2 linked regions of the Drosophila melanogaster genome follow. The protein of the gene in region 2 purifies or fractionates together with the protein of the main gene of each other region. This does not show direct contact. Each region holds a gene or a part of one and is shown on either strand. Other genes may lie near its edges. The genes, in order: hzg and Irk1.

Evidence for each region.
Region 1: the proteins of Irk1 (region 2) and hzg purify together in Drosophila melanogaster (affinity purification with western blotting; one study listed by BioGRID). This does not show direct contact.

Annotation. Positions count from the first base shown.
Region 1 is NT_037436.4:16,002,960-16,006,888, forward strand, and holds the start of hzg (herzog), read right to left. Parts: upstream 1,778-3,929; 5' UTR 1,390-1,777; intron 1,116-1,389; 5' UTR 1,022-1,115; coding exon 940-1,021; intron 1-939. Other genes in the region: mRpS31 (mitochondrial ribosomal protein S31), read left to right, coding at 2,331-2,368, 2,433-2,888, 2,955-3,591; mib1 (mind bomb 1), read right to left, coding at 3,774-3,914.
Region 2 is NT_033777.3:23,166,196-23,170,124, forward strand, and holds the start of Irk1 (inwardly rectifying potassium channel 1), read left to right. Parts: upstream 1-2,121; 5' UTR 2,122-2,190; intron 2,191-2,242; exon of another isoform or gene 2,243-2,589; intron 2,590-3,700; 5' UTR 3,701-3,899; coding exon 3,900-3,929.

The sequences.
Region 1 (3,929 bases), on a different chromosome or scaffold from region 2:
TGGTTAGATCATTCACAATGGCCAACGAACAAGAAAACACTGTGTGCTGAATAAAAAAGGGGCGAAACAAACACAACAGACAGGCACAACTGGCGTGAAAATAACACTATTATTAAGTATTGTTATTCATCGCAGTGAAAACCTGTGCAAGCCCATTTATTTAAATGTAAATGCATGACTGGGGACATTTTTGATTAATAAATTGATACCTTTGAATATTTAAAGGTAATTTTTGCTAGCATAGTACAGTTATCAAAGTCGAACAATCTATTAAGAAAACATAAGTCTGATTTTTACACAATAATGTGTCTATAAATTCAAACTCCTAGTCTACCTTGAAAGTAGAAAAAGTACAGACATTTAAAATGGAAATTAGATTCCCAATTAAAGAAAAGAAATTGCCATTTAATTGGTTTCAAATTACAGAAAGTACAGCAAACTGGTCACAGTCGTGCAAACAGATAATAGCTAACGTTAATTTAAATATTTAGCTTAGACAGAATTGAACAACTTTTTCCAGCTACAAGTTAATTGCATGTTGTTTGAATATATTTTTCGAATTAAAAGCACTTTTGTCTTTCATCAGTTTGTTTTTGGAGTGGTTCCTGTACAAATTAAAAAGGCCAATGCCATTTAACTTGCTGCTACTTTCGGAAAGTACGACATATGTACAACTAACTTATTCCCACAATTATATTGACCGCAATTGGGTGTGTTAGAAAGGTCAGCGGGGTGTTGGGCCCTCTTCTTTGGGAGGTTATGGTGGGTGGTGGTTGGTAAGTGGGGGAAACTTCTTGGCAGCGGACAAGTGTCCTTTCGTCTTTGTTGTGACGCCTTCGAGTGGCGATGAGTCATGAAGGGAGCTTTAAATATATGTATGTGTATGCGGACTGCGTTTTCAGCGATTTCCCCAGTTTGGCCCCCATTATTTGTTCTCACCTTTGTCATTGGGATAGCTGGGATAGACGTTCAGTTGCTCGTCGTCGCGGGAAACTTGCGTTATTATTGATGTTGCATCCATTTAAGCACTCGGTTTGTGGCTCCACTTCGCTTAACAGGTTGATAAATCGGATTCGGATTCAGATACTGATTCAGATCGGTTTCGTATAGGATAGCTGCAAAATGTTGCGCACACATGAGAGATAGAGATACATTGGATATGGCAATTATCGCGAGATGATTCCATGTTTTCTTCGTATATATGGTAAGTGTCGTGCAGTATATATGTCGTACATATATAATACATCTACCACGTATATATAGCTCACACACACACACATGCACCAATTGATAGCCTGCCCCAGACAGTGGAATTTTACAATTACGCTTTGGCCGTCCGTTCGCTTCGTTTTATTTCTCGATGCAAATGGGTTTCCCTTTGATATTCACCTCGCTATTTATCGCTCTCTCTTTCGCTCTGTTGCACTTTCGCCTCTCTGTTTTAGTAAATTTAAAACTTTTCAACGAATTTCAATAAAAAACACTTTCTTTCTTTCCTTCGCTCTTGTTTTTGGTTGCGCTCATTCTTTTACTTCTTTATCCGCGTCTGCTTTTCGCACACAGCTTCGCAGCGTTTTATTTATAAACGCCCACACAGACACAGCACTCACACACACTCTCGCACGCACACTAGCTCGGCCGCTGGTGTTTTCGTTATTTCGTCTCGTTATTTATTTATTTTTTTTATTTTTTGCCATTAATTAATCGCGCAAAATAACAAAACGCGTGTGTACGTCGAAAAAAAGTAACAGGAATAGCGCAAAAAACAAAACGTGTGATTAGTGTGACCGCGGTGGATGCGAGACTTATTACCAAGTGCAAAGAAAAAGTGGTAACATTTCGTGTTTACCTTAGAATCACAGGTTGAAGAAAGGCTTGATTATAAGTTAATTACTTACAAGGAGAATGTAGAATTCTATAAAAGGAGCTTGTTTTGAACTACATAATTATTTTCATAGATTTCCAAATTCGATAATCAAAGGTCATACTATCTGGTGCAATTTGGGCTGCCAACTGTGGTCAAGTTAATCTATAAAATTCTTGATTCAAAATGCAATTTTAAGAACATTTTATTTCAAATTATATCAAATCAGATAAAAAACAAATGTCCATGAAATGATTAGGTTAGTTAAGGATATTTTCAATCAAAACACTATAAGAAATAGGACAAGGGAAGCCAAACATAAAATAAAGCCAAATTTAACTATAAACTAGCTTAAACGGCAGTGCAAACAGTTCATCTGGTCTGGCAACTCTCCGCCGAATTGTTGTTACGCGAGCGATTTCTTTGGTCTTATTTCTAGTTAAAATTATCAAAGAAATATTATAAAATGTTGGCCGTACGAAGTTCCCAGAGATTGGGCCTACGGTAGGCCACCCGTCTAATTTGAAATAACCAAAAGAAATCCGTCACTCGACTATTTATTTTTCAGTTCCCTGCTACCGTCTGCCTTCAAAAACGTGGGATTGGTCAACTACTCCTCTTCGCAGTCCAAAAACGACGATGGATACTCCTCTTCGGACGACGAAAAGCCCACGAAGAAGAAGGAGGAACCTGTGGAAACGGCGGCCCAGCGGCTGAACCGCCTGTTGGGCACCATGCAGGCCACGGATCAGCTCTCGGCATCGGACTTTCCACGTCCTGGTGATGCCAACAGGAAGCGGAGGGAGGCCCAGAAACAGGAGGCAGCCGCCAAGAATGTTCTAACTGCGGCCAAGAACATTGCTAGCATGCTGGGCACCAGTGAGAGCGACAAGAAGCAGACAGAGTCTGAGCTATTGGCCAAACTCCTTGGCCATGGAAGCGAGTCCTCTTCAGCAGCGACCGGAGAAAATCAGACGGCGGATGTTTCGGGATCTCCTTCTGGTGATAAGGAACTCAATCTGAGGTGTGTAAAAATGATTTTCTCGCATTAATGGATAATCTAATAAAATTTATTTTCCTTACACAACAGTGATATTATCGTGGGCATGAAGATCGATCGTCGTCAGCAGCCGCAGCAGGTGGAGCAGACCCGCGGCGAGTACGTTCGCCGCTCGCTGGCTTCCAGATTCAAGCCACAGAATCGAGATGGGGCTTATCAGCGGTCACAGAGGCAAACCAAACGAGAGGCTGAATCCTTTACGGGCAGTGTCAATTTGTACGGCGGGGAACCGTTGGGTATCTTCAAGGATACCCAGCTGCCGATTTCCAACGACATCCTTTCAACCTGGTCACAGCTGAGTGAGCGGGAGCTTAGTTTACAAGCTTCCCATCCCCCGGCAAACTACTTCGAGCAAATGGTCCTGTGGACGGATCAAAAGAAGGTGTGGCGCTTTCCCATCAACAATGAGCAGGATTGGGAGGACGAGCATAACGTGGACTTCTCGGAACACATTTTTCTGGAACAACATCTCGAGGATTGGTGTCCTAGCAAGGGGCCTATTCGCCATTTCATGGAGCTCGTCTGCGTCGGCTTGTCCAAGAATCCCTACTTGACTGCCCAGGAGAAGAAGGATCACATTTTCTGGTTCCGTGACTATTTCCAGGCCAAGAAGGACATTCTGAGGGATCTGATTAGCAAGGAGCCAAGCAAAAGTATTTCTGCTTAATGTTTTTGTTTGAATATTTGTTAAAAATATATTTTTGCTTTATAAGACCAATCCGATATATAGTTATATATATGATATTGTGTGTGTATATATGTGTGTATAAGAATGTGAGTCCTTTAAATATCCTAATACTTCGAAGGCTGTGCAGACTGTGCGCGGAATGTGTGAACCGGGAACGGGCTTCAGAAGAGCAGGATGCGTTTTTCCACGGTCTTGCGGCAAATGGGACACCCCTCAATCTGGTCGCCACACATCTGGCACGTGCCGTGGCCACATAGGAAGACCATGTTCTTTATGCGGTCAAAGCAGACAGGACACATAGTCTATAAGATAAATTT
Region 2 (3,929 bases):
AACTTTAGCACATGTCACAGAGTCACAAATGGTATACCTAGATCTTGGTGGAGTCGAGACTTAAGATGGAATACCTAATTGGCACACTTGAAACTGGTTCCTCCCACACACAGGCACATGAAATACTGATTTTCCGGCTGTAAGTGTCCCTTCCCTTTCTTCGCAATTATATAACAAGATTTATATCTTAGGCAATTGAGCATTTATTCACCGCAATGTGCCAGTTATTAGACAGGGCAGTTTCAGTGGCATTCCAAAAAAAATATATATATATACATATAATCTTGTGTGTGGGATTCAATTTCATATACGCATATGCATGAACAAATTTTGGGGTAAATATATCAAGCCATTGACGTCAGAGGTCAATTATGCATTAGGATGCGTTTATGTGTTTACTAGAAAATGGATTTCGGGGTTTAGTAACTAAATATTAATAAAGCCGCTTTCAAGGAATTTTGGCATCTATATTTGTGAAGAGTTAAAATCCGAAAATGCACAGAAACAAAATAATAATAAGTTGTGTTGCTTGTAATGGGTAATTATATTATCCATAGTGTTGCGTTTAATTTGTTTTCATTGCACTTTGCCGTAACAAAAAGTCATTATTCTGTTTAAATTCTCATTTGCTTTTCGAAACTTTCGTTGTGTTTAACGCAAAGCGTTAATGATCTCTGAGCCACGTGCTGTGTTAGCCGAAATTGATCGTAAATCAAATACTATAGGACTAACAAGTATCATTCTATTGGATGAAATTAGGCACAGCCAACTTATTACATTACACTCACCCCAAGCCGAAATTGCAAACGTGATTCTCCGGACACCTATTCTATTACCCATTTATCGTAATGGCCGCTTTACATCTGCAGCGAGCACTTTGAATAGATAGCCAAAGTGAATACACAATGATTCACTGGCTATTTCCATTCCTATTCATACCCATTGTGGGCATGTGACACCGTGCACTTTGCACTGATTGTGTTTGCATTCGCTCAACTTGGAGCACAATTGCACAGGTGTAACAGTGTTCAGATACATTTACATCTACAGATGCTCACTTGAGGTGAACACAAAAAAAAAACATGGGAAAACTCAAGCGTTTTTACAAGAAAATTTAATATGTAATAGTTGGGTAGATAATGTTGTAGTAGCATATGAAAATCATATATTTTATTTGTATAAAAATGAAAATGATTCACTAAACTACTATCTAGTCCTGCTTAAAATAGCGAATGAGAGGTTAAACCAGAGAAAAAAGGGTGCTGGCAAAAGTGATGGATTTATGATGCAAATTGTGGGCGACACCATCAGCTGACATTGTTTTATCACTGGGCCATATATCACGAAGAACTTCGCCAGGGGGTGTTACTATGGTCGAAACCATTGTTGTCAATTTAAGATACTGTTACTGCTGCCATTTGATTGATTGGCAGCAGGCAGGGGCTCACGAAAAGGGATGGAACTGATTTGGAGCTAGTTTACTTTCATTTTTAGCAGTATTCATTGGCAATATTCAAAAATATTCAAAAATATCCTTAATCTATAAACCCCTTTTAAGAAATCCAGTCTACGCCCCAGTTGCAGATGGGAATCTCCTTTTGCGCACTTCCAGCAAAGCAGACATCCTCAATTCCCCCAAACTAGCTTTAAAGGATTCCCCAACAGGTGGCGCCACCCCACTCCACTCCACTCCCCCCTTCCGCTTTCTCTATGAAACTTCTGCCGGCGTAATCACATGGCGCCAACATCTGTTCGCCAGCAGCGCAGCAACAGCGCCGCCGGCGACCTTATGACAGATTTGGCAATGCTGTAAAGCAAAGCAAAAGCACGCCGGCAGCGCCAAAAGCAAAAGCAACAAGCAGGCAAACGCCGACGCAGCAGCGACGCCTCGTTAGGCCAACACGATAAAACACAAAATAAAAAAAAAAACAACAGAATTGTGTGTGCTAGATGACGCTACCGGTTGCTTGTGCTTGTTGTAGTTGTTCCTGCTGCTGCTGCTGCTGCGACTGTTACTGCTGCTGCGGCGGCGGCTGCTGCTGCTGCGGCGTCTGTTGTTGCTGCTCGCTTTTGGATAATAAAACGGGCAACGCGCACTCGAGCGCCAAGTCAATTTGCGAACGCCGCTCGTTCACAACGGTGGCGCAAAAAACAAAAGCAAAGCAATAATAATTTAAATAAAAACAAACGGTAATAGCTCTTCTTCAGTTACCAACACTGCCCCCCAAGCCACCGACCATCCCGCTCGCACTTTTGTTCCCACGTTCTGCGCGTGCGTGCGCGAGCAGGGCAGAGCAAACGAGACGAGTCCGAAATCAGAAATACGAAATCCAAAACCAAAACCAAAACCAAAATAAGTCGCCAGTCTCCAACGCGTCTCGTCCACGGCAGGTCCACTTTGAAAATCGCGCGTTTCGCGGTTGGCAGTTCGAAATTTCCAAAAGTTTCGAACGAAAGTCGCGGGCGTATTGTGGTTACTCAAGAATTCGCGTGAAATTCGAAACAATCAAATAACTGTGTGGATTTAGTTTTGGAAAATTAATTAGAAAAGATATCCAATTTTCTGGGGGAAACTCTCGAGTGAAAACGGTTTGTGTGTTGTCATTGTTATTATTTTATGTGTTTCCCGTTTATGGTTGCTCGCACCAGAGAACCCCAAAATAAAATGTTGACTTCATATAATTTGCATAAAAAAAAAAACTGAAAAAAAACGCTTAGCGCTGAAATATGAAATTATGGAAATATTCCAACAAAAACATACAACAAATTATCGCTCATACATTTTATGAGCATAAGCTCCGGTCGCCATCTCATTTGGCTAAAAATTTATAAACAATACGAGACAGTATATTTTGAAATTGTTTATTAAATTCAAGAAATTGCAAGTCAAAATTGTTCTAAGCATTTTTGAACGCAGTGGAGAAAACAGCGGGATAAACAGTGCAAACAAAATATTAAATAAAAATTTAGAGAAACATTTAGGCATAAATAACTTGAAGTGAACTCAATGTTTCAGAATTTGTGCTTAGAATTAACAAATATTTATGCTGATTACTTATGAATGTGTCATGAGTTCAAGCCGATTAAACAATACATAACTATAAAATTCTCTTTAAAGCTTATCAAAAAGCATAAATATATATGAAATGTGCGAACAATTATATGTGGTTTGATAACTATTGTAGTTAGCAGTTGTAATAATGCATAGAAATAGTGTTTGCGTTTAAACATTTTTAAAAAATTTCTGTTTGGATAGTAAAATATGTGAATATTTTTATGTTATTTTAAACTCATAAACGAATTATGGCCGTCTGCAAAAAATTTTAACACCCAAAATATTCCATTAAAAACTAGATTGATTTAGAAGAATTTTATAGGGCCGTGCAACACAAAATCGCCAGTTGGTTCCATTCGAGACGAGCACCTCAAGACGAGACGATAATAATGATAACGATAATGAATAAAAACCGCAGTTTGTACAATTCACGAATTTTCTAACCACAAAATGAAACGAACTTTAGGACTTTGTTAAGTGTGTTAAAGACTTTAAAGCGGCAAGCGAGATGAAAACGTTGAAAAGTGTGAACTTTATTGTATGAGGTGTGACAATATGCAGGATAGAATCCAGATGTTTAAACCCAATATATATGTGCATTTAAACTGAAGTCTAACTCGCATTCGTGTTCCATTTCGGTTGCAGAGAACAACGTGGCCGCCAGCAAAGAACCATCCATGATTGGCCCGCACTCTTCCAGATTGCAAAAGAAACGCGCCCTCAACAGCTATTCAAATTTTCCCTTATAACGAATAATTCTCCCCAAATTGGCGACTAATCGAGATATATACCAAAGATATCGCAGTGCAGTCAGTAAGTTTAAACTTTTAGCCGTAACTAGTCAATGCCAAAAATGATAGTGGATAAATCGGAA